5 linked regions of the Cricetulus griseus genome follow. Each later gene encodes a partner of the first gene's protein in a complex. Links are inferred from orthologs where the notes say so. Each region holds a gene or a part of one and is shown in the gene's direction. Other genes may lie near its edges. The genes, in order: histone H3.1, Asf1a, Ezh2, Kat6b and Kdm4a.

The links.
Region 2: the proteins of histone H3.1 (region 1) and Asf1a are in contact, whole or in part, in a crystal structure (PDB 8Z50), measured with the Homo sapiens proteins. The link is inferred for Cricetulus griseus from reciprocal best matches to the Homo sapiens genes H3-4 and ASF1A. Residues at the interface, in NP_003484.1 of Homo sapiens: Asp107, Leu110, Cys111, His114, Lys123, Gln126, Leu127, Ala128, Arg130, Ile131, Arg132, Gly133; in NP_054753.1 of Homo sapiens: Val45, Ala48, Glu49, Glu51, Asp54, Val92, Thr93, Val94, Leu96, Arg108, Gly110, Tyr111, Tyr112, Asn114, Glu116, Leu140, Asn143, Arg145, Thr147, Phe149.
Region 3: the proteins of histone H3.1 (region 1) and Ezh2 are in contact, whole or in part, in a cryo-EM structure (PDB 8VMI), measured with the Homo sapiens proteins. The link is inferred for Cricetulus griseus from reciprocal best matches to the Homo sapiens genes H3-4 and EZH2. Residues at the interface, in NP_003484.1 of Homo sapiens: Ala26, Arg27, Lys28, Ser29, Ala30, Pro31, Ala32, Thr33, Gly34, Gly35, Val36, Lys37, Lys38, Pro39, Arg41; in NP_001190176.1 of Homo sapiens: Arg497, Trp499, Ala500, Cys503, Arg504, Ser514, Phe542, Arg561, Gln570, Leu575, Ala576, Val577, Tyr641, Gln648, Ala651, Asp652, Asp659, Ser664, Phe665, Leu666, Phe667, Asn668, Val674, Arg685, Ala697, Lys698, Val699, Phe724, Asp725, Tyr726.
Region 4: the proteins of histone H3.1 (region 1) and Kat6b are in contact, whole or in part, in a crystal structure (PDB 6OIE), measured with the Homo sapiens proteins. The link is inferred for Cricetulus griseus from reciprocal best matches to the Homo sapiens genes H3-4 and KAT6B. Residues at the interface, in NP_003484.1 of Homo sapiens: Ala2, Arg3, Thr4, Lys5, Gln6, Ala8, Arg9, Ser11, Thr12, Gly13, Gly14, Lys15, Ala16, Pro17; in NP_001357065.1 of Homo sapiens: Ser217, Phe218, Leu220, Arg227, Ser242, Ser243, Gly244, Cys248, Leu249, Lys250, Phe251, Leu255, Trp264, Cys266, Ile267, Glu268, Lys270, Gln278, Ala282, Asp283, Asn284, Met285, Leu286, Phe287, Cys288, Asp289, Asp292, Met307, Pro308, Lys309.
Region 5: the proteins of histone H3.1 (region 1) and Kdm4a are in contact, whole or in part, in a crystal structure (PDB 2YBP), measured with the Homo sapiens proteins. The link is inferred for Cricetulus griseus from reciprocal best matches to the Homo sapiens genes H3-4 and KDM4A. Residues at the interface, in NP_003484.1 of Homo sapiens: Ala32, Thr33, Gly34, Gly35, Val36, Lys37, Lys38, Pro39, His40, Arg41, Tyr42; in NP_055478.2 of Homo sapiens: Ile71, Tyr85, Asn86, Ile87, Gln88, Ala134, Asp135, Val160, Ile166, Thr167, Ile168, Glu169, Gly170, Val171, Tyr175, Tyr177, Glu190, Asp191, His240, Lys241, Met242, Ser288, Thr289, Asn290, Arg309, Asp311, Met312, Val313, Lys314, Ile315.

The regions. Positions count from the first base shown.
Region 1 is NC_048600.1:73,029,046-73,033,644, forward strand, and holds histone H3.1, read left to right. Parts: upstream 1-1,207; coding exon 1,208-1,618; 3' UTR 1,619-1,648; downstream 1,649-4,599. UniProt on the Homo sapiens protein: Core component of nucleosome. Nucleosomes wrap and compact DNA into chromatin, limiting DNA accessibility to the cellular machineries which require DNA as a template.
Region 2 is NC_048595.1:255,438,808-255,445,225, reverse strand, and holds the start of Asf1a (histone chaperone ASF1A), read left to right. Parts: upstream 1-2,396; 5' UTR 2,397-2,800; coding exon 2,801-2,909; intron 2,910-6,418. UniProt on the Homo sapiens protein: Histone chaperone that facilitates histone deposition and histone exchange and removal during nucleosome assembly and disassembly.
Region 3 is NW_023276806.1:222,412,804-222,418,640, forward strand, and holds the end of Ezh2 (histone-lysine N-methyltransferase EZH2), read left to right. Parts: intron 1-535; coding exon 536-631; intron 632-1,393; coding exon 1,394-1,475; intron 1,476-2,621; coding exon 2,622-2,702; intron 2,703-2,863; coding exon 2,864-2,948; intron 2,949-3,953; coding exon 3,954-4,014; 3' UTR 4,015-4,278; downstream 4,279-5,837. UniProt on the Homo sapiens protein: Polycomb group (PcG) protein. Catalytic subunit of the PRC2/EED-EZH2 complex, which methylates 'Lys-9' (H3K9me) and 'Lys-27' (H3K27me) of histone H3, leading to transcriptional repression of the affected target gene.
Region 4 is NW_023276807.1:199,317,901-199,323,851, reverse strand, and holds part of Kat6b (histone acetyltransferase KAT6B), read left to right. Parts: intron 1-1,514; coding exon 1,515-1,746; intron 1,747-2,222; coding exon 2,223-2,382; intron 2,383-2,960; coding exon 2,961-3,281; intron 3,282-5,563; coding exon 5,564-5,855; intron 5,856-5,951. UniProt on the Homo sapiens protein: Histone acetyltransferase which may be involved in both positive and negative regulation of transcription. Required for RUNX2-dependent transcriptional activation. May be involved in cerebral cortex development.
Region 5 is NC_048595.1:34,146,804-34,152,754, forward strand, and holds part of Kdm4a (lysine-specific demethylase 4A), read left to right. Parts: intron 1-1,210; coding exon 1,211-1,581; intron 1,582-5,951. UniProt on the Homo sapiens protein: Histone demethylase that specifically demethylates 'Lys-9' and 'Lys-36' residues of histone H3, thereby playing a central role in histone code. Does not demethylate histone H3 'Lys-4', H3 'Lys-27' nor H4 'Lys-20'.

The DNA.
Region 1 (4,599 bases):
GCTGCCACAGTCGATGAGAGCTTGCTTTCTTACATATAGATTAGCAGGCAGGAGACAGAGCAAGCAGGAATGCCTAGTATGGACTTTGGAAACTTCAAAGCCCAACCCCATCACACTTTCTTTAAAGATCACACCTCCTAATCCTTTCTCAAACAGCTATAACAACTAGGGAGGAAGCATACAAATGTGTGAGCCTATTAGGGCTGTTCTCATTGAAACCATCACAAGGGTCTTTAAGGGAAGGGGGAAGCTGGTCCAAAGTTGGGGCAGGGGTACAAAATAAAACAAAGACTGCATCTGTTGAGATTGATCAGTGAGAGCCAGAAGTTCAGCTAATTGCTGGTGTTGCAAAGTTGGGAACCTGTAGTGCTTATGTCTAGCCTTTGTCATGGGCCAGCAAGGACACAGTGGGGGCATTTTTTTTTTAATTTAAAAATATTTATTTTATTTTTAAAATATTTTTAAAATTTAAAGCTACAATATTTTTAATTTTGAAATATTGTTAATTTAAAACACTTTTAAATTAAAATCTTTAAATAATTTCTAACTTACATTTTTTTTATTTTAATTGTGTGTGTGTGTGTGTGTGTGTGTGTGTGTGTGTGTGTGTGTGTAGGTGTTTGGCTTGCATGTATACTGTGTGTACTACTTGCATGCCTGGTGCCAGCAGAAGATGTCAGATCCCCTGAGATGAATTAAGGTGGAAGCAAGCCATAGTGTGGGTGCTGGGTTCTGAACCGTGGTCCTCTGGAAGACCAGACAGTTCATTTTACTGAACCACCTCCAGCCCTTGTCCCAGAAGTCCTTAAACCGAGACTATTTTTCTAATATCACAGAACTCAGGAAAATTATGCCCTGTTGCCATATAAAGGAAACACCCAGAGATGCTAGAAGGTTCTTTGTGACTTGACAGTTGAAGCAGGGTTGAAAAAAAAAAAATTCTGAGAATGACTCGAGTTTTTCTACAATCCATGCTGCGGGCCTACCGAGATTAGTCTCTACTAATAGCTCTGGTGTCACTGCCACCCGGAGAGCATATAAGGGGCAGGATGTAAAGAGGAACGCCCAATGGACCAATCAGAGTGGAGTACTCAAACACGCCACCAGGTGCGCAACCAATAGGAATGCAGTGGGCTCTATAAAAGCCGAGCCCACAGGGCACCTTGCACACTCGAGGAGAAGCAGAGAAGAAAAGAACTTCGGGACGATGGCACGCACCAAGCAAACAGCACGCAAGTCGACAGGAGGCAAGGCTCCACGGAAGCAGCTGGCCACGAAGGTGGCCCGCAAGAGTGCACCGGCTACTGGCGGTGTGAAGAAGCCGCATCGCTACCACCCAGGAACCGTGGCGCTTCGTGAGATCCGCCGCTACCAGAAGTCCACCGAGCTGCTGATTCGCAAGCTGCCGTTCCAGCGCCTAGTGCGTGAGATCGCCCAGGATTTCAAGACTGACCTGCGCTTCCAGAGTTCGGCCGTGATGGCGCTGCAGGAGGCCTGCGAGTCCTACCTCGTGGGGCTATTCGAAGACACCAACCTGTGTGCCATCCACGCCAAGCGGGTGACCATCATGCCGAAAGACATCCAGCTGGCTCGTCGCATTCGCGGAGAGCGGGCCTAGACGCCATAGGCTCCTCATCTTTGCACTACTTTGAACCCAAAGGCTCTTTTCAGAGCCACCCACCCAGTCTGAGAAAGTGGTTGTAGCCTTGTAGATTTGATCCCCTGTCCACTTCGTGCGGAGTTGACTTTGAAGTCCAGCGAGCTAGTCCGGCTTTACAGCGGACCCATACCCGTTTAAGCTGTTTGATCAGCAGGTCCCTCCTGCGTTAAGTAGGTCTTCGCCTGAACCTTTGTAACAAGGTTGTAGTGCTGACTGCCCTGCCAGGTAGAGTCCAGCTTCCACAGGCCACAAATACACTACCACAACTATGGTGTGCCGATGACAAGTCTGCATTAACTCCAGTTTACTCCCATTGAAAGTCCCGAAAACCTTGCACTTTGGTTTAAAAGGTTGGCTACTCTTGTGTGTAAAAGTTAGCCCTCTCTCCTACAATGGAAAGCACACTGAGCTGAAGGCACCCACATATGCATACACAGGCGTACTAGCAAGTGTGCACCTGCAAACAATAATAAAATTTAAAATTAAAAGATATAAGGCTCCCATGGAACAGCATCCACGGTCTTCTAAACTCACCTGACTCAGATGTTGCAGCGTGGGTGTGGGTTCACATGGTCCATCAAAAGAAAACTCAGAAACACTTTAAGAATGAATTTAGCCATTGCAACTGCAGGGGATCCCAGCTTCAAGGAACTTTATATTCTCTACACCCAGGACATTTTTTCCTCTATGTTTACACTTTAGCCAGTTGATTACCAACTTGAATGAGGCTTCCAAAAAGACAATGCCAAGTGCAAATTCTCAATTCATCAGGTACCACAGTTTTCTGGATTTCCTGAACCAAGCTTTGCCTTCTTGGGAAAGTCCCAAACAAAGTTCACATAAGGGGACAAAAGGTATCCAGTCTGTCAAAGGATGGGTTAGGCTAGGTGCTAGCTTTCTGGAGCTAGGCCAGGTGCCACCCAGTGGGTGGTTATAACCGTCTAGTTGCTATTACTGCAGCACCAGGTCAGCAGGGTATCACTGTACTCACCAACACATTAAACATAAAATACATAAATATGCATGCACCTGTGCTTGGATGTGTCTGCTCTCTCAATTATATGAAGTTACTCTGCCCTGATTTGTGAGCCCCATGGACAGGCTGATAGACAGTCATAGAAGGATCCTGCTGGGTCTGAGGTTGACCTGGTGCTTTAGGAATGCTAAGACACATTTGCAAACTTCTAGAACTTTAGTAGAGTAGCAGAAAGAATCTTGGGACTTCTTATGAGCCCCACTCTCTAGCCAGCCCCAGCACTCCTACTGCTCAGCTGCAGGCTTCCCCAGGTGACCCCCACAGATTATCTGCATAGAATGTTTCCTTCATACCTGGTTAGATGTCACTGTCCAGCTTGGGCTGCCATGAAAAAGTCACTTGAGATGTCGTGCCCAGGACATACTCAACACTCACAGTATTATTCCCCTGCCTTTGGGATCGTTCGGGGGCTGAAGTCAACATTCACATGGTAAAGACCTGACTCCCATCACTTTAGAATATGACTGTGTCTGTATCTTTAAGGACAGGTAGTTGAGGTAATTAAAGTTGCTGGGATGATCTGAGGCCAGGGTGACAGGTATCTTTGTAAGAAGAGATCAGGACACAGATACACAGAGGACACTGTGAGGACTGAGAGAAGACATGACTGCAAGCCAAAGACAGGAGAGACAGCCCTCTGGAGCATTTCAGACAGGAAGAAATTCCGTGTTGTCAGTGGTGGTGCAGCATGTCTCATACTTGTAATCCCAGCACCCAAGAAATTGAGATGGGAATACTGAAAGTTTGAGGCCAGCCTGGAATACCCCGTCTTTAAACAAAACAAAACAAAACAAAACAAAACAAAAGTGTATGATGAAGTCTCCAGACAATCTCCTAGGATGCGCACAGCATCCTAGGTAGCGCTTAATGGTAGCGCTGTGTTGGGGTGTGGGTTCAAGCCGCCTGAAGAAAGAAGACACGAGGCATTCTAAGGATGATTTAACCTTTCCAGCACTAGTCAATGGGAACTGACTCACTGTCGCTTAGTAAAGGGCATTTTTATCGTTATACAAGTCACAAAATAGCAAATTAATTTCCTATACCAAAACCTCTTATCTAAGCTCCTCAAAGAGACAATGCCAATGCAGATTCCAAAAGTCCCAGGACATCTCAGTTTGCCAAGTCCTCCTGGGACCAGGTTTTGCTTAGGCTTTGAACCTTTAGGAAAGAAACTTTCAGATAAGATTTATCCAGCTGGGTAGTGGTGGCACACGCCTTTAATCCCAGCACTTGGGAGGCAAAGGCAGGTGGATCTCTATAAATTCGAGACCAGAGCTAGTTCCAGGACAGCCTCCAAAGCCACAGAGAAACCCTGTCTCACCCCCCCTCCAAAAAAATTTTACTTTCAACAGACACAAAGGGTAGCCATCACAGAAGGCAGATCAAAGCCAGGTGCCAACACTGTTGAATCAAAACAACTGCAGAATTCTGCAGGAAGGAACACTTGCCTAGCCTGAGCAAGGTTCTGGGTTCAATCCCTATCTAGCACATCCCCTCAAAAAAATTAGCAGGAATACTTTTTATTATACTCGTTCCTCCATACATCACAGAGAAGACCTTCTGGAATTCAAAACAAAAGAAGCTATGGACTCTTGCTGTGCCTGTAAGTACAGTGGAAATTATGTGACCCTGGAGCCATTAGTCACAGTGGGTGAGGGGACAGGGACTGTTCCTGCAGAGAAAGACAGATGATCACTAACTCAGGTAGTGAGGCACTGGACTGGCTTCAGATCAGCCAGTTACTGGGGACCATGGCTACCCCGTTCCCAAGGCCCCGTTTTATAATGTATCCTATCCCAACCTGACGTGTGGAAACAGACTCCAATCAGTTCTGTGGCTTGCTTGAGATGCACAGCATCATCCAGAGTCAGGCGGAGAATGAATGCTGAAGTCTGATGCTCTT
Region 2 (6,418 bases), on another chromosome or scaffold:
AGCGTGGTGACATGAGCTCCACCCCCAGAACCTACATTTAGGTTGGAGAGAGCCTATTACACAAGCTGTCCTCTGACCTACATACATGTTTCCCCAACACCCCAATAATAAACGTGTGTGTGTGGGGGGGTTCAAGACAGGATTACTCTGTGTAGCTTTGGCTGCCTTGGAACTTGTTTTATAGATCTGCCTGCCTCTAACTCCTAAGTGTTGGGATTAAAGGCAGTACCACCATCATCAGGCCCTATAATACACATTTTAAAAGTTACTCTGCCATTTCTGCTTTACATTTTGCAGCAGGCAGGACTCCATTTCATTCTCAGTTCCAAGAAAATTTCATTCAAAACATTTTAATTCTATTGAATTTAACTTGCTTTTTCACGGGCCTCTGTATAACCTCAATTTAACTAAATGTTATAGTTTTCTTTGTAGAGTTTTGGACCCGTGGAAACACTGCTTATCTATTCAAATGTCAAGGTACCTGTTCAACAATAGGTTCTTCCATTGAAGAATGGCTATGCACACGATTCCACATCATCTTCCCTATTGCATTTCACGCTTCATAAAGTACTTGATAACTGATGAATACTGGGACTAAACATGCTTACTCAAGCAACCTTCATTCACTATGAGAAAAAATGTTTCATAGTTTCACTATTTTTTTAGGGCTATCATAACAAAATACTGGAGGCTAGACCTTCCAAGCCTAACATTGGTTTGTTTCTTCAGAGGCTTTGGTTTGTTTTTTTCTCATGGCTTGTGAATGCTATCTTCTCATTGTTTGCTCACAAGGCCTTTATGCATGTGTATTGTGTATATGTGTATTATTTATCCGCATGGTATACCACCTCTACAACCACAGTGTGACTTTTACTCTGATGCACAGAAATAACTGTGATTGAACTGGTAGGCACTCCCTCCCCCTTTTTTCCCAAGACAGGGTTTCTCTGTGTAGCTCTGGAGCACATCTTGGAACTCACTCTGCTCACTCCGTAGACTAGGCTGGCCTTGAACTCACAGATCCCCCTGCCTCTTTCTCTCCAGTGCTGGGATTAAAGGCATGTGCCACCTGACTGCTCAGTCTACTGACAATAAGAGTGGTTCTCTCCCCCACTTTCATTTCCTTAAACTAAGAGAATGGGCCTGTTTCACAATAACATTCAAAGACAAAGATTTCTCATCATTACCAACCCACCTAAGTCTCAACATGTCCAAAGAATGACTAACCAAAATTCTGTAAACTGCAGATTAATACTTAAAAGCAATTTTCAATCTGAATTTTATTTAATAACGTTTCGTAGTTTAATTCCAAAGGGGAGAAAACACAATAGTAAATTGAGTAACACCTCAATTTAGTAAAAGGAAACAGTTTACTTTCACAAAGGTGTTAAAAGCTTCTGTTTCCCCCTCCACAATAGCAGCTCAGTAGCATAAATAAGCAACATTTCCTCAATTGGCCTTGAAATGGTTTCACAGGCATTACAGGCATAGAAGGGCTCCTCAGAATTCGTAATGCTATTTTTAATGTACGAATAGTTGGTATAAATTTCTTGAAGACCAAATGTCATGGTATACTTTGTTTTCTCCTTCTCAAACTCTATTGTAATAAATTTGTTGTCCTTCGGTCTCCTGACACTTCCCTTTTCTTGACTTCTAACTTCTTGCTCTGCTCCCCCAAAGGGCAGAAACATGACTGATCCCATCTTTTCCTCTTATCTCCCCTTTCATTCTATTTCAGGTCTGAAATGGGAAGAAATCCAAGGTGCAGCCAAAGATCGTATATTTAGATTTGTTTTCCGGTCTCTGTCTCTCTCTCTCTCTCTCTCTCTCTCTCTCTCTCTCTCTCTCTCTCTCTCTCTCTCGTTCTCTCGTGTGTGTGTGTGTGTGTGTGTGTGTGTGTGTGTATGTGTGTGTGGTGTGATTTCCCCGCCCTCATTTTCTATTGCCAAAACGTCGATAAGTGGCCAAGAACTTGTCTTCCAAAATGGCTTGCTCCTTTCGAGCTGCCACGGGTCTACGAGATGCAATGTACTTCCATTGCAACCAGCCCTTCTTCCTACTCCCTACCATCACAGGAAGCACACACAGCTGGGCCTGACGAGCGCAGAAAATCGCATCTTATCCGCTACGTTCAGCAGAGCCCGCAAAGCCGCCGCACCGAAGAACAGACGTTAAAGGCGGGGCGGACAGCGGAAAACCCAAAGGCCCACGCTTCGCACATGAGGGGCCAGCTCGCGCCCTCCCGCCACGGCCGCCGGCCCGCCCCCTCTCCGGCCCCGCCCCTCCGTCCCGCCGCGGCCACGCCCGACGTGAGGCGCGGGCCCGGCGGGCGGGGCGGGGCCTGCGCCGCCCCTCCCCCCTCCCGCCGGCGGCGGCCTCCGCGCGGGCCTCCCAGCCCCTATTCCACTCACTTTGTTCTGCGCCTTTGTCCTGGTCCACACCAGCAGGTGGAGCCGCAGTGAAAGTTTCCCGTCCGTTCCGCGAGCGGGAGCCCATCTTGCTCGCCGCCACGGCCCTCGCTGGAGGAGGAGGGTCAGAGCTCGGGGGCAGCCAATCGCGCGCAACGCTGCTAGTTATCAGAGCAGAATGGGCTGTAGTTTAGTGGAATAGGAAAGCTGCAAAACACTGTGGAGTGCTGCCGTGTAAATAAAAAGGGGGAAAAAAAAAGTTTCTCAAGTCGCCGCTGCACGACGTCGGGCCGCGCCGCGCCGGGGCGGGGGTCTGCGCTCTCCGAGCGGCCGCGCGCGGGACTCTGTGGTGCCGCCAGCCCCGGCCCCATTGTTTGTGTTTTCTTCAAAATATGGCAAAGGTTCAGGTGAACAATGTAGTGGTGCTGGATAACCCGTCGCCTTTCTACAACCCGTTCCAGTTCGAGATCACCTTCGAGTGCATCGAGGACCTGTCTGAAGGTGAGCAGCGCCGGGCTGTCAGTTGTGGCGGCGGACGTTAAAGTTTCCCGGCCCGGCCTCGCGCGGGGTGGGCCGCGGGCGGCGGGAGGGCGGCCGGGCGGCGGCCATGCGAGGGAAACTTGAAGTTGAGGGACGCCGGCCGCACCGCAACTTGCGAGCAACTTACCGGCGGAGGAGCCATGTTGTCAGCTTTGTCTGTGGCGGGCGGCGCTGGGCGGCCCCGGCTCGTGAGGCGCCGGCGGGGGTCGTGCGGCCTCGGCGGCCCCAGGGCCCCGCGGCCCGGCGGGGAGCGGAGCCATCTTACCCGGCGGCACGACGCCTGCTCCGGGCCGCCGGGGGCGAGCGGGCCCGCGCCTTCCCGCCGGGGCTGTCCTCGCGCCGCTCTCCGGCTCCCTCCACCAACCAGCGCGGAAGGCGGGCGCTGACTCGGCCCCTCGGCGCCTGGCTCCCGGGGACCGTCGTCCTCCCCGCGGTGCTCCCGGCGGGCGCCCGGGATGCTGCGCGCAGGCTCCCCAGCAGTGTGGACGCCTCTCCAGGAGGACGGAAATCTCTCTGAAACGGTGCGGGGCTAGGAAGTTCCACCCTGCCCAAGAGCCAAAGCTGGGCGCTGCAACAATTCCCGGTACTGGCTTCTAAAAAGTCTCCAAGACTTTCCCCAGAACGTACGAAGATGCAATTAAAATAACTCCACGGCCAGGCGGATAGAGAAAATACGGACGTTGGCTAGGGAATAAAAGCCAAAGTCTTTTCTGAAGTACGTTTTGCGGTTTAAAAAAAATGCAAAATAGTGAAGGAATACAGGATTTAGAAAGCTACAATGAGGGATTATCATCAGTTTTCTTAGGCTTTTAGTAAAACCAGTGCTTCATTTTCAAAATTTGAAACAAAAAGTGTAATAACTTCATCAGTGTTAATTTAAGTTAGTTAGGAGGACATCTTGGGACCTGGAAGTATTTCGTAAAAATGCCTTTAAGAGTATTATCCTCACCATGACGGAAAGAATTTTTCTTTTCATTTAAAAGTTTTAAATCCCCACAGTGTACTTTATGTAGGATGTTAAGTTTAATTATAAAACCAATATATGCCCGTTGCAATAAACTTTAAAAAGTTGGAAAAGGAAGTCACAGCTCTTTCACCCATTCTTTTAGCTAACCACACCATCACTTTAAAATGTACCCCTCTGTTGTTTTTAATACTTATATAAAGTATAAATGCACAAAAATTTAGTATGTAGGAAATATTTTGAAGAATGACTCATGATTAGAATATAGTAGTCTCCTAATAGGCTGTGGTGATGTAAGGTTGAGGGTAAGTTTTGCTTAAAACTCCATTTGTTACTGTCCGATAGTATTAGTAAAAGCATTTCCACACCAGACCCATTTCCAAACACAACATTGGTTTTTCTTCTTAACTGCCAATTTATATATAAAGATAAAGAAAAAAGCATGGGTGAGTCCATTCTATCCCAATAGCAGTGTGTTCTAGGCATTAGAAGTTCTTCATATTACAGGTATTTCTCAAGCGATGGCTTCCATTTTAGGATTCAACTTTGTGCAAGGAAGACATGATCTAGGATATTGTTATAGGGTGGCTCTACAGGATAGTTCGAAACCAGCCATCCACAGAAACCAAGTGAGGTTCCGTTTTAAACTGGGGTCCTTTCACATCAATGGTATCACTCTCATGTCAAGAATACCCTTACCTCTAGTACCCTTCAAAACCAGGGCACCATTATTTTAGGATATTTTAAGCTGAGTCATTCCAAAGCTGCAAAGGAATCTTTCAAAAAGGTGCCATTTCTGTGTACTCCATCTAGAGGCTGTGTGGAGTAAGGAAATGGAGTTGACTTATTTTGCAAAAGCTCTTTTCTAGGTTCCATACTTCTGTTGTACTGTGATTTTTTTTTTTTTTTAATTCTTAAAATCAAACTACAAAATCCTTCGAAGGGAATTTTGAGTCTATAATTTGGGTCTACCCCCAACCTACAGATTAGCCACCATTTGTTATGCTCATCAATCATCTTCAACTATTTTAATTTTCCTTTAAAAGCTGCCCTGTAGCTTTGCTTCAGAAGCCTTGAGTAGTATTTGCTCTAAGGTTGAAACAGTTATTTCTTATACTGGGCTTCTAAGAGTAGAGCACATTAAAAAGTGGGATGTAAAGGCCAGTGAGATAGATGGCACAGCCAGTAAAGCTACTAGCTACTCAGCCTGACTACCTGAGATCGACACCGGAATCCACATGGTAGAGGGACAACTGACTCCAACCAGTTGTCCTCTGACCTCCACATTAGTGCCCATATACATACATAAACACAATAAATGCTTTAAAATTTTTAAGGGATCTAAGTAGGGGCTTTATCATGCCCCCATTGCTATGCCTGTACAAGTCTGATTAGCCTCCCTACAATTTCTAGGGTTTAATATTTGCAGTGTACCAAAACTGAGCCTGTGGCTTTATATTTTAAAAGTTCAGGCCTATTCTGATTGCAAAGACTTTATACTTTCTCCTAGACTACAGATTCCCAACAGTGTAATTAACTTAAAATTTTCTGGATAACACACCTCTCATCACACATGGAAATACTTTCTGTCTGGGATTACCATGATTAAATAGAAAAGTTAACTTTTTAAATAAGTGAGTAAATTCCAGCTAGTAACTTGTAGTGCCACAGGACTTATCCTTAACTTCCTAAACTCAGAAAGGAAAACTGGCTTTATAAACAAACTAATAAATAAGCATTCGATGGCATTAAAACCCAGTGTGTGCCCCTTCTTGAGTTACTGCTTGTACTTACTGAGGCTGGATTATCTAGCTCTCCACTGCCAGTTTTTACCCACCTTCTGTGTTCTTTAATTTCATTAGTTCACAGCTAGAAAGGGGCAGAACTTACCCAGTTACTTGTATTTATTTTAAAGCCAAGGCTTTTGAGTAGCAGCAGCCCAACTTGAATTCTAATTCTGATCTGTAAGCAACGTGAATTTTTAGTAAATTACTTAGCTTCTCCCAGTCTCAGCTTTCTTGTTTATATAACACATGTACAGTATGTGTGTGCTTGAATGATCTATCTGTATAATAAAGCATTTTTGTAAAGTGACAAAGCCCATGCGAATACTTTAGGTCACTTAGTAGCTTTTCATATACCCTTCTTTAGTTTCTTCATTTAGCTTTTGGATCACTTCCCTCATTGGCCAATAGCTCCTAATATTTTAATTGATTCTTCATCTTCCCGATCTTTTGGAGAGTCCATAGGCTCAGTGCTTAGGAATCCCATTCTTTTCCTTGTCTTTATGTATTATTGCCTATTTTCTATTCTTTAAGATCGGGCCTATGTTGTATCCACACTGAAACATCTACTAGACATTCCAAACACGTATAAAACTAACTCCTGATTATTTTCTCCTTTATACCCAAAAGGAAAAAGAGAGTGCCTACTGCTGCTTCCATCCCCAGACTTTTTACCTAGGATATAGTGCTTTACTTTACCCTCATGGTCACCATAGTGAACC
Region 3 (5,837 bases), on another chromosome or scaffold:
GAAGGGCCACGAACAAGATACACATTTGAAAGACACATCACCAGTGACCACATCCTCCAACCAGAACTCACCCAGTCTGTACCGCCTCCCAGTAATGCCGTCAAACTGCGTCTGTCAGGGGATAAGTCTGTTAAGAGTTCAGAGCCCTCACAATTCAGTCACCTCTAGGTGATCAGTCCACATGAACCCTTTGGATTATGTTAGGTTGAATGAATTAGTGGAGAACTGAAAGGAAGTAAAAGCAAAGCAGATCTCACATACCTCCCTTTCTTCTGCAGTACCCATGACACCAGAGGCTTGGTTTTGTTTTTCCTATAAGAGGATATTTATTCTGAGTTTTGTTTAGAAACATTGCTTTCATGGTTTTCAGATACATTAGGCAACTTTCCGTACCTGTCAAATCCATTTGGGAATTGAGTGATTCCCCTCGATGGGTCTGAGGTTTAACCGTGGCAACTTGTTTTCAAAGATGTTGCAGCCCGCTAGTCTTCTGCTTTTGCTGTGTTCTCATTATGTGATTGTGCTTATTCTCTAGCACTTACTGCTGGCACCGTCTGATGTGGCAGGCTGGGGAATCTTTATCAAAGATCCTGTACAGAAAAATGAATTCATCTCAGAGTACTGTGGAGAGGTAAGGCACTCTATGAAATCCAGTGGTCTTGTGTATAACAGCAACTTGCATTGTTTTGGATAGATAGAGTTCATTGGACAAGTCTAGGTTAGAATGAATACTAAATAAACCCGGACTTATTTGTATTTGTAGATTTGGTTTGTGCAGTAACTAGCTAGATTGCTTTAGTTGTAGTCATGTTTGGCTTTTATTACCTGGAGATAAGGGATTCGGGAACAAGAGCGTTGCTTTGTAGAATTGGTTCTACTTCATTGATGAGCTGATGGGGACTGAGAAACAACAGCGTTATTAACTTGGCATTTTTAGTTGTCAGCCTGGGGGGTAGGGGGAGCCTTAAGACAGCTTCAGGAAGTCACAGTTTGTATTTTCTTTTATCAGCAGAAATCGCTCAGATTTGGGATTTTCTTAGAAATGTCGTATTGGGTGCTGGTCTGAGAGTTGGGTGGTAAAGGTGCAGCTGCTAGGTTGATGACCTGAGGTTAGTCCCTAGGACCCCACATGATGGGAGGAGAATAATGACTCCTCCAGTTGTCTTTTGACTTCAGACACACCGGGGCACGAGTGTACAAGCATCTTCCCATAAATTAATAGATATAATAACATTTAAAAATTCTTCACTGTTGTACACCAGAGAAGAGAATTTGGCTACTGTGGCACCTTGATATTCTCAAGAGGGACCAAAATTCTGTTCATTGGCCCTTAAATGTCCTAACAGGTGTGACTACTTACTCCAAACAATTTCCTCCTGTGTCTTCCTTCTAGATCATTTCTCAGGATGAAGCAGACAGAAGAGGGAAAGTGTATGACAAGTATATGTGCAGCTTCCTTTTCAACTTGAACAACGGTACGTGCTAAGCTGGAGGCACTTAGCTCCTTGAACAGTGGTGTGTTCTGAGCTGGAGGCACTTAGCTCCTTGAACAGTGATATGTTCTGAGCTAGAGGCACTTAGCTCCTTGAACAGTGGTGTGTTCTGAGCTGCAGGCACTTAGCTCCTTGAACAGTGATATGTTCTGAGCTAGAGGCACTTGGCTCCTTGAACAGTGATGTGTTCTGAGCTGGAGGCACTTGGCTCCTTGAACAGTGGTGTGTTCTGAGCTGGAGGCACTTAGCTCCTTGAACAGTGGTGTGTTCTGAGCTAGAGGCACTTAGCTCCTTGAACAGTGGTGTGTGCTGAGCTGGAGGCACTTAGCTCCTTGGAGGTGGTTTGGGATCTGATTGCTGGCTGAGCATTTCAGGTTGGAAGTCAGCAAGATGCCAGGAAGGGGCATGTGTCTACAGGAACAGCTCCTGGGATTTTTTTATCACCAGGCCTAGGCTCAGGGATGTGTGAGGAGAGGGGAAGTCCCCATGGAGTAGAAGGGTTATATGCAGGAAACAAGGAGCCCCAGACACTCTGGCTGTGAGGGGACATTGTCTCCCCCACAGCTGTAGTTTGTCTTGTGTTCCCTGGGATTTGGGGGCTGAGTAGCTTCAGCACCCGGTTAGTCACCATCTCTGATCTGGGAGCACAGGCAGCATGTGGAAACCTTGTGGCCCAGGGTGTTGTCCACAGGTTGTGAGGAAAGCAGCAGCTACCTCAGCCAGGGTTGGTAATACAGATATTCAGAGAAACTTTCAGCTGGACAAATAGAACATGTTTTCTTTCTTCTTTATGAAAATGTTCCATAGAAATATTCTAATCTTAAATCTCAATATGCCTACTTCTTGATATTCACAGAAATTCGGCAGGAATCCTTTTTTTTTTTTTTTTTTTTTTTTAGGCATGTTTTGTTCAGCAACATATAATTGAGAAGTCGTGGCATTTGAGAGCCATATTTAGCCACCAGGGATTCATTTTAATGTAGAATAGTATTTTCTTCCAAATGTCATTTTGTATTGAATGTTTTATTTGCTTTTGAGGTCAAATCCTGAAGACCTGTTTCTAAAACCATAACAACTTTAGTCCATGGTTGCAATTAGTCACTGGATTGTTTTCTTTTGTTTTTTTAGATTTTGTGGTGGACGCAACCCGAAAGGGCAACAAAATTCGTTTTGCTAATCATTCAGTAAATCCAAACTGCTATGCAAAAGGTAGGCTTTTAGGTTGGCACTGCCAATTTGATGCAAAAAATTCCCTTTTTTACCAGCCAAGTGATAGCAGACTTCAGTATCTCTGGGGCACCTGCTGTGTGAAGTCAGTTACCCGCCATGGCCTGTCTTCATGCTCACCAGCCCCGTGTTTCTCCTTCCAGTTATGATGGTTAACGGTGATCACAGGATAGGCATCTTTGCTAAGAGAGCTATCCAGACTGGTGAAGAGCTGTTTTTTGATTACAGGTTGGTAAAATAAACTTTTAGTATAATCTGCAGGCTTTCCCTTCCTGTACTGTGGGCTGAGGTCAAAGGCCGTTAAGTTCTTTGCCTGATCTGCTGTCATTGGAGAGGGCATTCTTTGAACTGGCCAGTCATTGATTGCTGTGGACACCAGAAGGGAGTTAAATGCTCCTTCAATATAGGTTGCCATGTGTTAATTATATAATGCTTATTTGAAAAAACAAACCCCACGCAGGAAGCTGCGTTGAACTCCCGGCTGTTGATGACTGTGACCCCTGGGTCTTATGTCTCACTTCACGTCGGTATTCTAAGGCACCCTTTCTCATTGGTGCAGTTTGTGTATCTATCTTCATTGCTTTAATTGTTGTCGTTACCCTGTGGTCACTGTGGAATCTTTTTGGGGAAGCTAGTACAACTGACAGTGTAGAGCTCCGCAGGCAGGAGACAGGCAGGAGACAGGCAGGCTGGCAGTGTGTTCTACCTGGCTGTGGGACAAACATGACAAAACAGTTACTTAAATGTGGTCAAGTAAAGATATCTAGTTAGAGAATTCTTGTAACTGAATATCCACCCCACCTAGAAACTTTAGTTGCTGAAATGGGGGCCTGTGTTGCTTAGTTCTAGTACATTGTACTGTATAGCTGGAGAGAATTAAGTGAGTGACACCTGGGGATTGGAATAGGGTCCTCATGCTGTGTCTCGTGCATGCTCTCAGTGGACCAGGGTTACAGGCAAAGGTGTCCAGCTTCCTTAGTGATGGGACTTTCCAGATCTTAATTTTGCTTTTTCAGTATTAGACACAGACATCACAATGTGGAATTGGCTCAGTAGAGTGCCACAAAGGCACAGGGAGGGCTGTGGGACTGAGGAGTGACAGTTGCATGCTTCCTCTTCATGAATGCAGCTGAGTGACGGGGTCTGCGAGTTGTCATGACATAATCCTCTCCATCAACAGGCTTGGTTTTCCTAATATTGGACAGTAGTCACTTCTTGTTCATGTTGTTTCAGATACAGCCAGGCTGATGCCCTGAAGTATGTGGGCATCGAAAGAGAAATGGAAATCCCTTGACATCTCCTACCTCTTCCCTCCTCTGAAACAGCTGCCTTAGCTTCAGGAACCTTGAGGACTGTGGGCAATTTAGAAAAAGAAAATGCAGTTTGAAATTCTGAATTTGCAAAGTACTGTAACAGTAATTTATAGTAATGAGTTTTAAAAAATCAACTTTTTATTGCCTTCTCACCAGCTGCAAAGTGTTTTGTACCAGTGAATTTTTGCAATAATGCAGTATGGTACATTTTTCAACTTTGAATAAAGAATACTTGAACTTCTTGAGTCACTTGTCATAGAGCGTCATCAACTGATTCTAGAAAGACTATATTCAGTGGGAAAACACAACTTAGCTTTGGTTTTCCAGTTGTCTATGATAAACATATTGGCATTGTGTTTGCCTAGATACAGTGATACCATTGCCTTTTAGTCTTGAGTGAATGACACTGGTGTGGGTCCTGGGCATTCATCGGGGAAAGTGAGTCAGCTTGTTACCCAGGAAAAGTTGTTCAACCTCCAAATCTGCTGTCCATATGTAAAATTGTGGTGTCTGAGCCGCGACTAAGTCCAAGTATCAGGCAAAAGCCTGGAGATTTAATTAGAAGAGACGTCTGGCCGCTTGTGCTATGTGCGTCTGTCTGACTTTATTCCAGGGGGAGAGCTGCCTTATATACACTTACAGCACAGTGGAGAAACCCCAGGTGTAAGAGTGAGTATTTTCCCAGGTATAGTTGATGCTAGTGGGGCGAGGCTGGGGCTGTAAGCCAGGACTGGAAAACAGGATGCACCTGTGGTTATTGGCCGACAAGCAACTCAGAGACCCTGTGGGGGCTGGGGCCCAACATCTACCCCTTCCTTTTTTTTTTTTTTTTTTTTTTTCTTCTCCCTTTTTATGTATAAATTAACGTCAGTGTTAGGTGACCAGGATGTTGATGCAAACCTTACCCGTCAATGCAAAAATCACCCAGGCTGTATGACTCTGTCTTAGGTTGGCTGGCATGCCCTTGGTCTCACCCGTCATTGGCTGCCTAATTTTTCTGTAGGCTCAACCATAGTTGAGCTGAAGGATTCTCTGTGGCCATCATGTGGCAAATTGAGCCTGGGCTTGTCTAGTGCCAAGGCACCTTAGCCAAATGAATGATAACAAGTCTTATGGCTGCAAGGCCCAGAGATAAGGACCCAGCCCATTCTTTGACTAAACGGCCTGCCATCTGTAATCCCCTAAGGAGGATCTCCCCAGAGGATGGAGGAACCATTTATCCTAATAATTTGATTGGCCAATTGATAATTTGTTAAGATTTAAACTTTCTACCTGAACTAAGTTATTTATGGAGCTCTGAGTGCTAAGGGCCTCTGTTACTTCCCCTGCCAGTTTACCCACCGTGCTGGCCGTAGTTACAGACTGTGAGATGGCAATCCCAGACACAGTGGCTGCTATAGCAGCAACAGCAATAGCTGCAATCACCCCATTTAAATGAAAACATTTATAAACAATATTTGGGAATGTGGGCATCGTTCTCTCCACACCACTTCCTGCTGGTTGGGGGCACTGAAATACCATGGGGATCCTAAGAAAACCCAGAAATCCCAACTATAGTGGTCTGTGACTGCATCATCCCAGGTGTCTTCAATGTTGGATCACCTGGCCATTGTTTCGGGGGTCTGCTTCATCAAATCACATTAGTCTGAAAGGAATCCGCAGCTTCTCATTTTCTGTGGAAACAAAAGCAGAAATTCTTTTCCCAAGTAACCGGTCCTTATATTGTGAAGTCAAAGTATTTTGAAATATATAAGTTGAATTATCCCAGCAGCCTTTCTTTTAGCAGTTGTTGCTATTTCCTCAG
Region 4 (5,951 bases), on another chromosome or scaffold:
ATCTGTGTTCTGAGATCCGGGCTTCCTCCACTGTTCTGGCAACAAAGCACTCCCCATGTTGACAGGCCTCCATGTGGGCTGGCTTCTACACAGCAGCCATCTATGTTAGCATTCCTGACACTGCTGTGAAAACCTCAGTCTGTAGCAGAGTGATGCGTCGTCGACAGCGGTTTGACTATAAAACTCCGGGACTTGTTTGCTTTCGGTCAGATACTTTGCACTTAAACATGACAAGACGAGTTAAGTCAGAATTCCTAAGCAAAACCCAATGTCTATTTTATTTCTATTCTGTATGACGACATTCAGGTTAAAGCCATCAAGATGTAGGATGCTGTTGAGATAGAATATCTTGTTCTAGATTTCTACATTGTTTGCATTGGCTTTTGAGAAACGGGAAAAAATGGATCAGAGGTATTGGTTTCTCTTTGTAACAACAGCAAAAAAACAAACAAACAAAAAAATCTTGCAAGTGCAGCCATTTTGGGAATATAGATAAAGAAGAGGAAGCTGAAGATTTGGGTGGCTATAGAGCAGCCTGGTTTGGTAATTGCTGCCACCTACTGTATGTGGTTGATGTTTGTTTAAATCCAGGAAGTTCACAAAGGTGAGGCTGTTGAAATAATTAGAGCAAAGAAGACATCATTACTTGACAGGCAGCATTTCTTCTCTACTCCATAAGTGGCTCTTAATTACCAAGACAGCCGCCAGCTTTCATTCATTTCCTGCAAGTGGGCTTGAAGTTTTCTCATTTCAGAGTTCCTTTGCCAGAGAGCTGTATCAGTCAAGCTCCGTGTGCTTGGGGATTTCTTTATGCACATGGAACGGTGCACTTTAAAGTTTTGGTTTTCTTTTTTCGTGTGTTTTATTTGTAATTTGTAGGAGCAACATTCTGGGGTTGGTTTATAAGTTAATTTTCATGAAAAGGGTAAAAATAGAGCAAGCAAATCAGACAGGAGTTGCCACCATTGACTTGAAAGATGTTTTATTAGTCCTAAAACAGCTTCAAATCAATCGGCTGATTAGACAGAACAAGTAATGCAGACTGTGTCAGCCAAAGCCCTTCTGTTTTATTAAGCCCTACCCGTCAGAGGGTCATCAGGTCTGCCTGTGGAAAACAGCCCTGCCCATTAATGCTGGGGTGGTTCCTCCACAGGACTCCTAAGGGACTGACATTGAGTATCTGGAAGAATTTCAAGCTTGCAGGAGATTTATGTGTTGAGACTCACCTGAAGTCATGTCTTTAGTCTTAACTTTCAGTCTCTGTGACATAAACCACCATGTATGTTTGCTCCAGCCAGCTGTGTGAATTGGTTTATGGTGCCAACACAAAAGATTGACAAGCAGAAATTTGACGAGGTGACATCACAGTAATTAGAAGAGGTGACATGCTTGACAGGATGCACTTCACCTGTGTGATGCTTTCCCCTTGCCACTGATTGCATTATTTCTAGTGGCTCCTGGACTTAGCTCTGGAAACACCCAAAATGAGTGGAATTTTGCTTTTTCTGCCCTAGGCTATTTGCTTTCTAGAAGAGAAGGCCAAGCAGGGTCTCCTGAAAAGCCACTTTCTGATCTGGGCCGACTCTCCTACCTGGCTTACTGGAAAAGTGTCATCTTGGAATATCTCTACCACCATCATGAGAGACACATCAGCATCAAGGCCATTAGCAGAGCCACAGGCATGTGCCCACATGACATTGCTACTACTCTACAGCACCTACACATGATTGACAGGAGAGATGGCAGGTGAGTAACATGGTCCCTGGGGAGGTGAGGCTCCCCCACGAGTTTTACTTTGTAACTTAAGACAGGATCTCAAGATGTAGCCTAGGCAGGCTTCAAACTCATGGTGAGCCTCCTGCCAACCCCCCTCCTGAATACTGGGATTACAGGTATGCATCAGCACACCCACCTAACCCTGAGTTGTTTGTTCTTGTTTAGACAGGGTCTCACTGTGTCTCCGTGGCTGGTCTAAAACTCACTGTGTAGACCAGGCTGGCCTTGAGCTCATAGAGACCCTCCTGCCTCTGTCTCCTCGGTGCTGGGATTAAAGTGTGTGTAGCCTGGCTGTCCTGAAACGCACTCTGTAGACCAAGCTGACCTTGAACTCAGAGATCTACCTGCCTCTGCCTCCCTAGTGCTAGGATTCAAGGCATGCGCCACCACTGCCCCGCTCTATCTCGACTTTTGAATTCACTTTGTCTTGCCTTGATGTGTTACAGGTTTGTTATCATTAGAAGGGAAAAGTTGATATTGGGCCACATGGAAAAGCTGAAAAACTCTTCCCGACCCAATGAACTTGATCCAGAGAGTCTAAGGTGGACCCCAATTTTAATTTCTAATGCTGTGGTTTCTGAAGAAGAGCGGGAAGCTGAAAAGGAGGTAATGATGTGCTCTGTCATCCTGAGTCACACTCTAGTCTTGTAGCTTGTTTAAACTGAGTCATTAGCATCATCATAAAAGCTCAGTTATATAGACAGAGCTTATGAAATGATAAAGCACTAATTTATCCTAACTGAATAAGACATGATAATTCTATTGAGTTGAGTATGAAAAATGAGACATTTATCATTGATCACAAAGCAGCATTTTCACCACTGACAGCATGTAATCAGATCAGCTTTGGTGCTGAGCTGCAGTGCTGCCATGTCAATCGATTCCTTGTGTTTATGAACCTGCTCTGAATGCTCCATGCCAGTGAGCATGTAATGTAGTGATAAAGCACTCGAATCAATTCACTGCATCATTAATACTGCTAAATATCCCATGAAACCCAGTCATCTTAGATTTGTTATCCTAACTGATGCAGAGGGTCCTGAAATGATACGACTCGAATTTGCTTGGCCAGCTGACTATCCCCTTCAGAACTCACTTAGAGACCCTTTTCCATTGATCTTGGAGGCTCCCACTATGCAACTGCCCTCTCACCAATCACCATTTTTTCCCCCACCCCACACCAGGCTGAACGACTAATGGAACAAGCCAGCTGCTGGGAAAAGGAGGAACAAGAGATCCTGTCATCTAGAGTCAACAGTAGGCAATCACCTGCAAAAGTACAATCAAAAAATAAATACTCGCATTCTCCAGAGAGGCGGCCAGTGGCCGGGGATCGAGGACAGCTGTTAGAGCTGTCCAAAGAGAGTAGTGAAGAAGAGGAGGAGGACGACGAGGAAGAGGAGGAGGAGGAAGACGATGAAGAGGAAGATGATGAGGAAGAAGAAAACATTCAGACATCTCCCCCACGGTTGACTAAACCACAGTCAGTTTCCATTAAGAGAAAGGTGTGTGTGTTGAGCTTTTCAGCCGATTAGCTGTTTTCAGTCCCTCTGACTCATCTTTGCAGTGGTCTTTAGTTTTTGTTTTACACTCTGAAGATGTAGTTTATGTGTTGCAGTCCACTGATCCATGTCATGTGTGTTTCCTGGTGTTAGCTCTGTCCTAGCTAACTCCCTAGTCTGGTGGTCACTGCCACCTGCTGGCCTGCAGGATAAGAGTAAATGCAGTCATGATAACCAGGAGGGCACCAGAGAGCACATACCTAACCACCCTTCAAGGACTGGGGAGGTCAGACTTGACAAGGTCACATGACTCACCCGAGGGCCATCCACATCTCAGAACTCCAAGCCAGTGCTCCTGTCGTTAATGTCCCTTATCCTCACATAGAGTTGTTAGGTATTCCATGCCCTTGATTTTGTGGCTAGTGCTTTGCAGGTGGCCAGCTACACATTAGCAGTTTCTCCAAATCACACCAGCTCCAACCCAGCGGTACAGAAAGGGGAGCATTGATTTTGTCTGTAGGCAATTGTTCTCTCCCGTCTGCTATCTTTGTCTGCATTTTCAGTCTATGACATACAGCAGGGCCAGATATTGTTAGGATAGCCATGACGAGTACAAATGGGGTACAAAAGAAGACTTCCCCAGAGCTTTCCTGAAAGGTTTGACTCCCCTAGGTTCTTTCTTCTGACTCCCCATTTGGAGGTAGCACATCCCATGAAATGTACATCCCATGAAGTACACTTTTGGCTACTCTGATTTCTTGTGCAGAGAATATGTTCATACATTGTGAGTATAGTGAGAGGAACTCTATATAAAACCGTGAAAAGCCAGAATCATCCAAGGCATGGCATGGGCCACTGCTGTCCATACGGATTCAACCTGAAGGGAATTAGCTCGCTGCACTTGTATCTGGGAAATCTGGTTGCTTATGGAGGGTAAGCAGATGGAGGGAACTAATAACAACAAATGTTAAATTACTAATGTGGTTAAATTTTAGAATTAGTAATAGACCTAATTTTGTTCTTTAAGAACATTGAAGGAATTAAAAATGTAAGAAACAGGGCCGGAGAGATGGCTCAGCAGTTAAGAGCACTGGCTGCTCTCCCAAAGACCTGAGTTCAATTTCCAGCACCCACATGGCAGCTCACAACTGTCTGTAACTCCAGTTTCAAGGGATCTGACACTTTCACACCAATGTGCATGAAGTAAAAGTTAAATAATTTTTTAAAAAAATGTAAGATACAATAATTCTTTGGTACCATTTATCTGGAGGTAGTACTCCTGCTCCTCACTGTGCTGACAGTGGAACCCAGTGCCTTGTACATGAGAGGTTAAGTGCTCTGCCAGTGAGCTACAGCCCAGACCTAGAGGTTAGCATTCATGTAAATGTACTGACACCTCACAGAGTAGTGTCGTCAATTTCATAGCTCATGATACATATCTTGGCTATCTATTTTGTTTTGTTTTTTTGACAGGGTTTCTCTGTGTAACAGTCCTGGCTGTCCTGGAACAGACCAGGCTGGCCTCAGACTCACAGAGATCTGCCTGTCTCTGCCTCCCAAGTACTGGGATTAAAGGCGTGCACCACCACTGCCTGTCTGTTCTATTATCTTATACAGAGATATTTTAATCATCTTCCATATCAAAATGGTCTATAATAAAGTATTAATTGCTCACATCCCAGCAGCCACCAATCTCTAACTCTGTTGTTTTCTAACTAGTAGAGTAATTGTTTCTTTAAGGCCCTTTCATTTCTGGGACAAGGAGATTAGTCTTATCCCACCATATTTCCCATAGTGCCTGTCAAGCAGTGGGCATCTCCATAGCAGTTAGCAGGTAATAGGTAATTGACCCGATAGTTGGTTATTGCAGCATTTATACAAGCACTGTTTATAGAAACAGTCTGTGATATGTCAGATATTGAAGCTAGCAAGTGCCACTTAGAAAATATATGCTGGAAAAACCGTGCTCAGCTTTTAAAATCTGCAGTCAAGTTGCTAGGGTGCTCTCTCTCTCTCTCTCTCTCTCTCTCTCTCTCTCTCTCTCTCTCTCTCTCTCTCAAAGCCTCTGCTTGAGTAAACAAGTGTTTTATTTGGAAAACACTTGCCTTGTTCTTGGCGCCCAAGAGGGATGTTCAACATCAAATGGAAGGTTAAGTACAAAGGCATCGCAGAAGTCCTGACATGTAAGATTCTCGGGCGCACATTCAGTACACATTTGCTGCATATCGCCTCAACCATTTAATTTCTCAGGAGCACTTACGTATTATGTTTGGAATTAATTTCAGAGGCCTTTTGTAGTAAAGAAGAAAAGGGGTCGTAAACGCAGGAGGATCAACAGCAGCGTAACAACCGAGACCATTTCCGAGACAACGGAAGTACTAAATGAGCCCTTTGACAACTCAGATGAAGAGAGGCCCATGCCACATCTGGAGCCTACCTGTGAGATCGAAGTGGAGGAAAAGGGCAGAAAGCCAGTTCTGAGAAAAGCATTCCAACATCAGCCGGGGAAGAAAAGGCAGACAGAAGAAGAGGAAGGAAAAGACAATCATTTCTTCAAGAATGCTGTCCTTTGTAGAGGTGAGCGGAGGCGTGCACAAGCTTTAGCCACTGATGTCAATGGCATGCCAGTGCATCTGAAAAATGCCAACCCATCATTTCTCCTTCGAAGTGGCT
Region 5 (5,951 bases), on another chromosome or scaffold:
TGAGATGGGCTCTATGTATCCCTGGCTATCTTGGAACTCTCTGTAGCCCACAAGATCTGTCTCAGCCTCCTTTTTTTTTTTTTTTTTTAAAAAGATTTATTTATTTATTATGTACACAGTGCTCTGTCTGCAGGTATGTCTGCAAGCCAGAAGAGGGCACCAGATTTCATTACAGATGGTTGTGAGCCACCATGTGGTTGTTGGGACTGGGAATTGAACTCAAGACCTTTGGAAGAGCAGGCAGTGCTCTTAACCACTGAGCCATCTCTCCAGCCCCTGTCTCAGCCTCTTAAGTGCTGGTATTAAAGGCATGTACCACCACACTTGGCTTATTGATTTTGAAGGAAGGTCTCAACTGTGTAGCCTAGCCTAGCTTTGAACTGAAGATCCCCAACCCTTGGCTCCTGAGTGTTGAGGTGATAGGCATGTGCCACTGAGCTTGGTTTGTTTTTAGTAATTGTTTTGCTCTGTTCCCTGACTGGTATTCGACTGGGCTTTTCTCCTGCCTCTCAAATACTGGGATTATTCTAGACAAACACCACCATGCCCAGCTTAAGAGTCTTAATTAAATATAACTGTATATGTTGGAGGAGTACAGTGTCTTTACCAAATCAGGTGCCTGCCACTGTAGCATTTGTTCACTTGGAGGCTGGAGGACTCACAAGTGTCGTAAGAAACACGGTTTTGGAGCACTCAGATAGGCACCAAGTCTAAATTTCTTAGGGACAGGCTTATTTTGGGCTTGAAGAAATCTGCTTACTCTATGCCAAGGTTTGTCTGATGGCACTGTTTCTATGCTGAGGTACATGATGGCTAGAGAGCACTGTGTTACATGCTGAGGTATGTCTGATGGCTAGGGAGCACTGTGTTACATGCTGAGGTATGTCTGATGGCTAGAGAGCACTGTGGACTTGTGCTTTGTAGAATTTCTTTTGACTTCAGCAGCTGGGCTGCTGCTGTGCACAGGCCTGTGAGGAACAGCAGCAGCCACTTGCTCGTAACCCTGTCATGTGTGAGTTGTGCTACCTTATGCCCAGGACTTGGATTGAAGCCCCTAAGAAGAAATGGTAGGACCCTCACACAGCAAGGAGAGGAAGAAGTTGGGGGCCCTGGTGCTGAGCACTGAGTCTTGATCACACAGTGGCCAGGTTGCCATCCTGCTTCCAACAAGGAAACTGGCTCTGTCTGATATTATGCACCTGTGTTTCAGATTACTCTGACCCCACTGAAGTCAAATTTGAAGAACTGAAGAATGTCAAACTAGAAGAGGAGGATGAGGAGGACGATCCCGAAGCAGCCGCCTTGGACCTTTCTGTGAATCCTGCATCCGTAGGAGGACGCATTGTCTTCTCAGGTTCCAAAAAGAAATCCTCTTCCAGCCTGGGCTCCAGTTCATCCCAGGATTCAGTTTCTTCAGATTCTGAAACCAGCGAATCTGTCTCTTGTCAAGGCCAGGAGAAAACAGGAGCTCTCACTGTGCACAGCTATGCCAGAGGGGATGGCAGGGCCGCCACAGGAGAGCCTAGTGTGAAGAAGAAGCGCAGTGCTCCCCGAAGCATCAGTGAGCAGGAACTGGCAGAGGTACAGGCTCTGCAGTGGTGTGGGAGGCCACTGCCCTGCAAGGCAGCTTGTGACAGAGGCGGCCTGTGAGGGTGAAGGTGCTGCAGGTGTGTGGGAGGGCAGGAGAGAGGCTCCCTCTGTCTCATCTTGCATCTACTACCTGCAGTGGTTGTGTCAGAATGCCAGGTGACAGTCCCCGTCTTCCTCTTTCTCTGTGTGTGACTGTTGATCCAGAGGACCGCATCTCAGCAGTGGCATCAGGGACAGAGCAGTGTAAATCCTAAGCTTGGTTGGATGTGCTGATGTGCTGGAAGCCCTTCCTCTGACTCCTTGCCCAGAGCAGAAAGGTTTGGATGGATGGCAGTGGTTGCAGCCCAGGTGTTTGGGGTTCGAGATAAGGTGGCATCTTAGTCACTGTTTATTGCTGTGAAGAGACACCGTGACCAAGGCAACTCTTACAAAAACTTACAAAAGAAAGCATTTAATTGGGACTTATCTTACAGTTTCAGAGGTTTGGTCCTTTGTCATGCCAGGAAGCATGGCAATAGGTGTGGTGCTATGGACCTTCACCCTGATCTGCAGGCAGAAAGGGAGACAACTAGGCTTGGCATGGGCTTTTGCAACCTGAAAGCCCACCCCCCAGTGACACACTTCCTGCAGGCCACATCCCCTAATCCTTTCAAACAGTTCTACTCCCTGGTGACTAAGCATTCAAATATATGTTCCTGTTGGGGGCTTTTTCATTCAGATCATTCCAGTGGCCTTTCTCACCCTGATATCCAGTGGCATTTTCTTCTTAGGAATTTTCACTGCTCTATGGAATCCTAGCTTGTCATTGATAGATCTTTGTTTTGGAGACCAGGACGGATTCCTAGAGCTCTACATGGAAATGTGTTTGTTGGGTCTCCTCCTAGTACCCACTGTTACCAGAAGCTTTTTTTTTTTTTCTTCCTTTTGTATATTGTGGCTCCTGGCTGGTCTGCCATGCTGAGAGAATTCCTATTGGCTACAGCTGATTCACCTCTGCAGATAACCTCTTTCCCTAGCCTCACAGCTTGCATGGTCCCGATCACAGTAAGGGTAAAAGGTGTCAAGCTGGGCATGATGGTGTACATTTGTAGTCCCAGCACTGGGTGGTGGAGGTAGGAGTTAGGAGTTCATGGTCGTCCTTGGCTACATGATGTGTTTGAGACCAGCTTGGGGCTCATTAGGCTCTGTCTTACAAAAACAACAAAAAGAGGCTAGTGAGATTGGTTAATAGGTAAAGGTGCCTGCCACCAGGCCTAACGACCTGAATTCTGTTTCTGAACCCACATAGGAGAAGGAGAGGGCCAACTGCTAATGTTTCTGACCTCCACACGTGCGCTGTGGTAAATGAACGCCCGCCAGAGTGGCTGCATTCCTTCCCCTGTGCTTGTGTGTTAGAGTAAGAGCTCACCATGTAGCCCTAGCTGGCCTTGAACTCACAGGCCACCTGGCTTTCTGCTCTTGCTTCATATTAAGTAACTTGTTTGGTTGGATATCTTTGAGAAATAGGCATGCTTGTGAGTTTGCTGTCATCCTGGCATGTGGGCCATGTTGGTCTTCCATGTATGTATGGTCCAGGTTTCCCTAGTGCTGCCTTTTGTCTCTATTTAAAATTTCTTGCCCCTTATCCTTTTTAAAATATCATTTATTTCAAATTGTGTGTATGTGTGTGCTCTTTGTGGGTTTGTGCAAGTGAGGGCAGGTGCCTTGAGAAGCCAGAAGTGTTGGGTTGCCCTGGAGCTGGACACAGGTGAGCGAGCATCTGGACATGGTGCTAGGAACTGAATTTAGTCCACTCTAACACAGCAGTTATGCTTTTGGCTGCAGAGTCTTATTTCCAGTGCCTTGTTGTTTTCTTTTTCTTTTGGATAGGATCTTGCTACATACATTTTTTTTTTTTCAAGATTTTAGGGGAGGGTTGCATGTGTATGTATGTATGTGATGTGTGGGTACCTGTATAGTATACTGTGACACTTGGAATCAGAGGACAACATCTGGCTTTCCCTATGGGGTATAGGGATGGAACTCAAGTCATCAGGTTTGTGTGGCCAGTGCTTTTTACCTGATGGATGGGTTGTCTCTGGCCCTGGATCTTGCTATATGATACATCTCAGGCTGACTCTGAACTTCTTTACTCCCTGACTCCTGCTTCTGCTACAGCTACCTCTTACATATCGCCCCTTCTTTTTAAAACTCTCATTAAGGTTCTCACTAAGTTGCACAGGCTGACCTGGAACTCAATGTTGTAGACTTTTTTTTTTAATATTTTATTTATTTATTATGTATACAACATTCTGCTTCCATATATATCTGCACATCAGAAGAGGGCACCAGATCTCATAATGGATGGTTGTGATCCATCATGTGGTTGCTGGGAAATTGAACTCAGGACCTCTGGAAGAGCACTCAGTGCTCTTAACCTCTAAGCCATCTCTCCAGCCCCAATGTTGAGATCCTCTAGCCCTGACCTGGAACTACAGTTTTCACCACCTCCTGTGTTGTGTCTTATCTTCTTTTTTTAAGGAACCATTCTGCTTTTAAAATTTGTTTGGGTTGTGAGCAGAGCTACACAGAGAAACCCCGTCTCACAAAACAAAACCCAAAAAAGTTGTTTTTTCAATTATTCATTTTGTGAGTGACTTTGTGCCGTGGCACACAAGTGGAGCTGAGAAAACAACTTTTGGGAATTGCTTCTCTTCTCTTCTCCCATTGTGTGGATCCTGTGGATCAAACTCACAGGTTGTCAGGCCCGGAGGATAGCACCCCCACCCACTGTGCCATTACACAGCCCCCCTCACTCATCTTGTCTTTCAGTACCCAGATAATTCTCTCCACTTCCTCCAAGTGTCATGGCTCAATTTCTGTAGACTTCCTGCGTGCATCTCATAGTGATTGCAGGCTAATGAATTAATCACCACCATGCTTCCTTCTGGTTGCTTTGACCAGTGCTCTCTGTACCCCGTAACGCAGCACCTACAGGAGAACGCTTTTCAGCTAGGAAACTTTCTTAACCCCTGCAGCTGCCACCTTGTTGTTTTTCCTCACAAGCCCCTGGGTGCCAACCCCCCTGCCGTGGGACAGCAGTTCACCCTGCCTGTCCTTTGTTTGCAGAACTCTGACTTCCTGCTAGTCACTGTCCAAAGAGTAGCTAGCAAATAGCAAAAATGTAATGGATACTAAATATTTTATGAACATCGTTTAGGCTATTACTGTAAATTAATTCTACTGGAGTTTTTGGTGTGTTTTTTATTTTTATTTTTGGAGAGCCTACAGCAAGCCAATAAATACTAGTCATCTCCTTTTCTTCCTGCATTTGATATCAATTAAGTGAATGGATACAAAAAATTGGGTTAGATGTCATTTTGTTGCCAGCTAATATGATTGAACAAAGTGACTTTTTTAACCTGTGGGCAAATGGTGCTGCTATTCTTTATTTTCAAATAGATGGAAGAGCTAGGGACAGGCAGTCCTAGATGTCCACAGGCCCTGGAAGGGACAAAGCATTGCCCAAGCTCCCATATGGTGAGGCTGTAGACTAGCGTGTACTCCTGCAGAAGGCAGATTGCAACTCACTGATGCATACTCTGCATCCATGGCGTGGACTGCAGCCAAGATGCCTCCGCCATCATGATCCACAGGGTAGGGAGGCTTCTCCTTAGATGCCTTCCTTTCAGTCCTGCTGAAAGCCTGCACGCTTTCAGCGTCCCTCTCATTTCTTTGTGGATTCTCACTTGCAATAATTCCTTTCTCTGCCCTGTCAGTGTGTGCTGGCAGCCTTGAGCCATTTAAGTTCTCCAAAAAGGTGTTGTCCTACCCACCTGCTTACCTAACCCTTGTAGTCAGTAGGGCCCATGTTCTATGGGCCAGGACTGCCTTCCAGGACCTCCAGAGCAGATGTGGACAAAGAGGAGCATGAGGTTTCAGCACTGGGTGATGCTAAGTGATGCAGCTCCCATTGGAAGATCTGGCAGCCTAGCTGGGCTGAAGGAATTTAGGATGTTGAGAAGGAGGAAGTTTGGAGGAATATACCAGATAGATGGAACAAGAGTCTGTGAGAGGAGGGTGATCTCTTCTTCATGTCCTGATAGCTCACACCAAGGCCCATACGGGTCTGCTCTGCATGCTGTGCCTGGAAACTGGAACTCTGTGATCTGCTTGGAAGTGCACAAAGATGGAGCATGAGTGCTGTCAGGAGCATGAGAGTGCTGTTGTGCAGATCAGACCTCAAGCTCCTGCCGGACCTGCTTCTCCATCTGCTTTTACTGCTTTAAAACCATATGCCATCACTTCTTTCTTCCTCCTCCTCCTTCCCTCTTCTTCATTCCTTCTTCTACTTTTTTTTTTTTTCTGGAGACAGGGTTTCT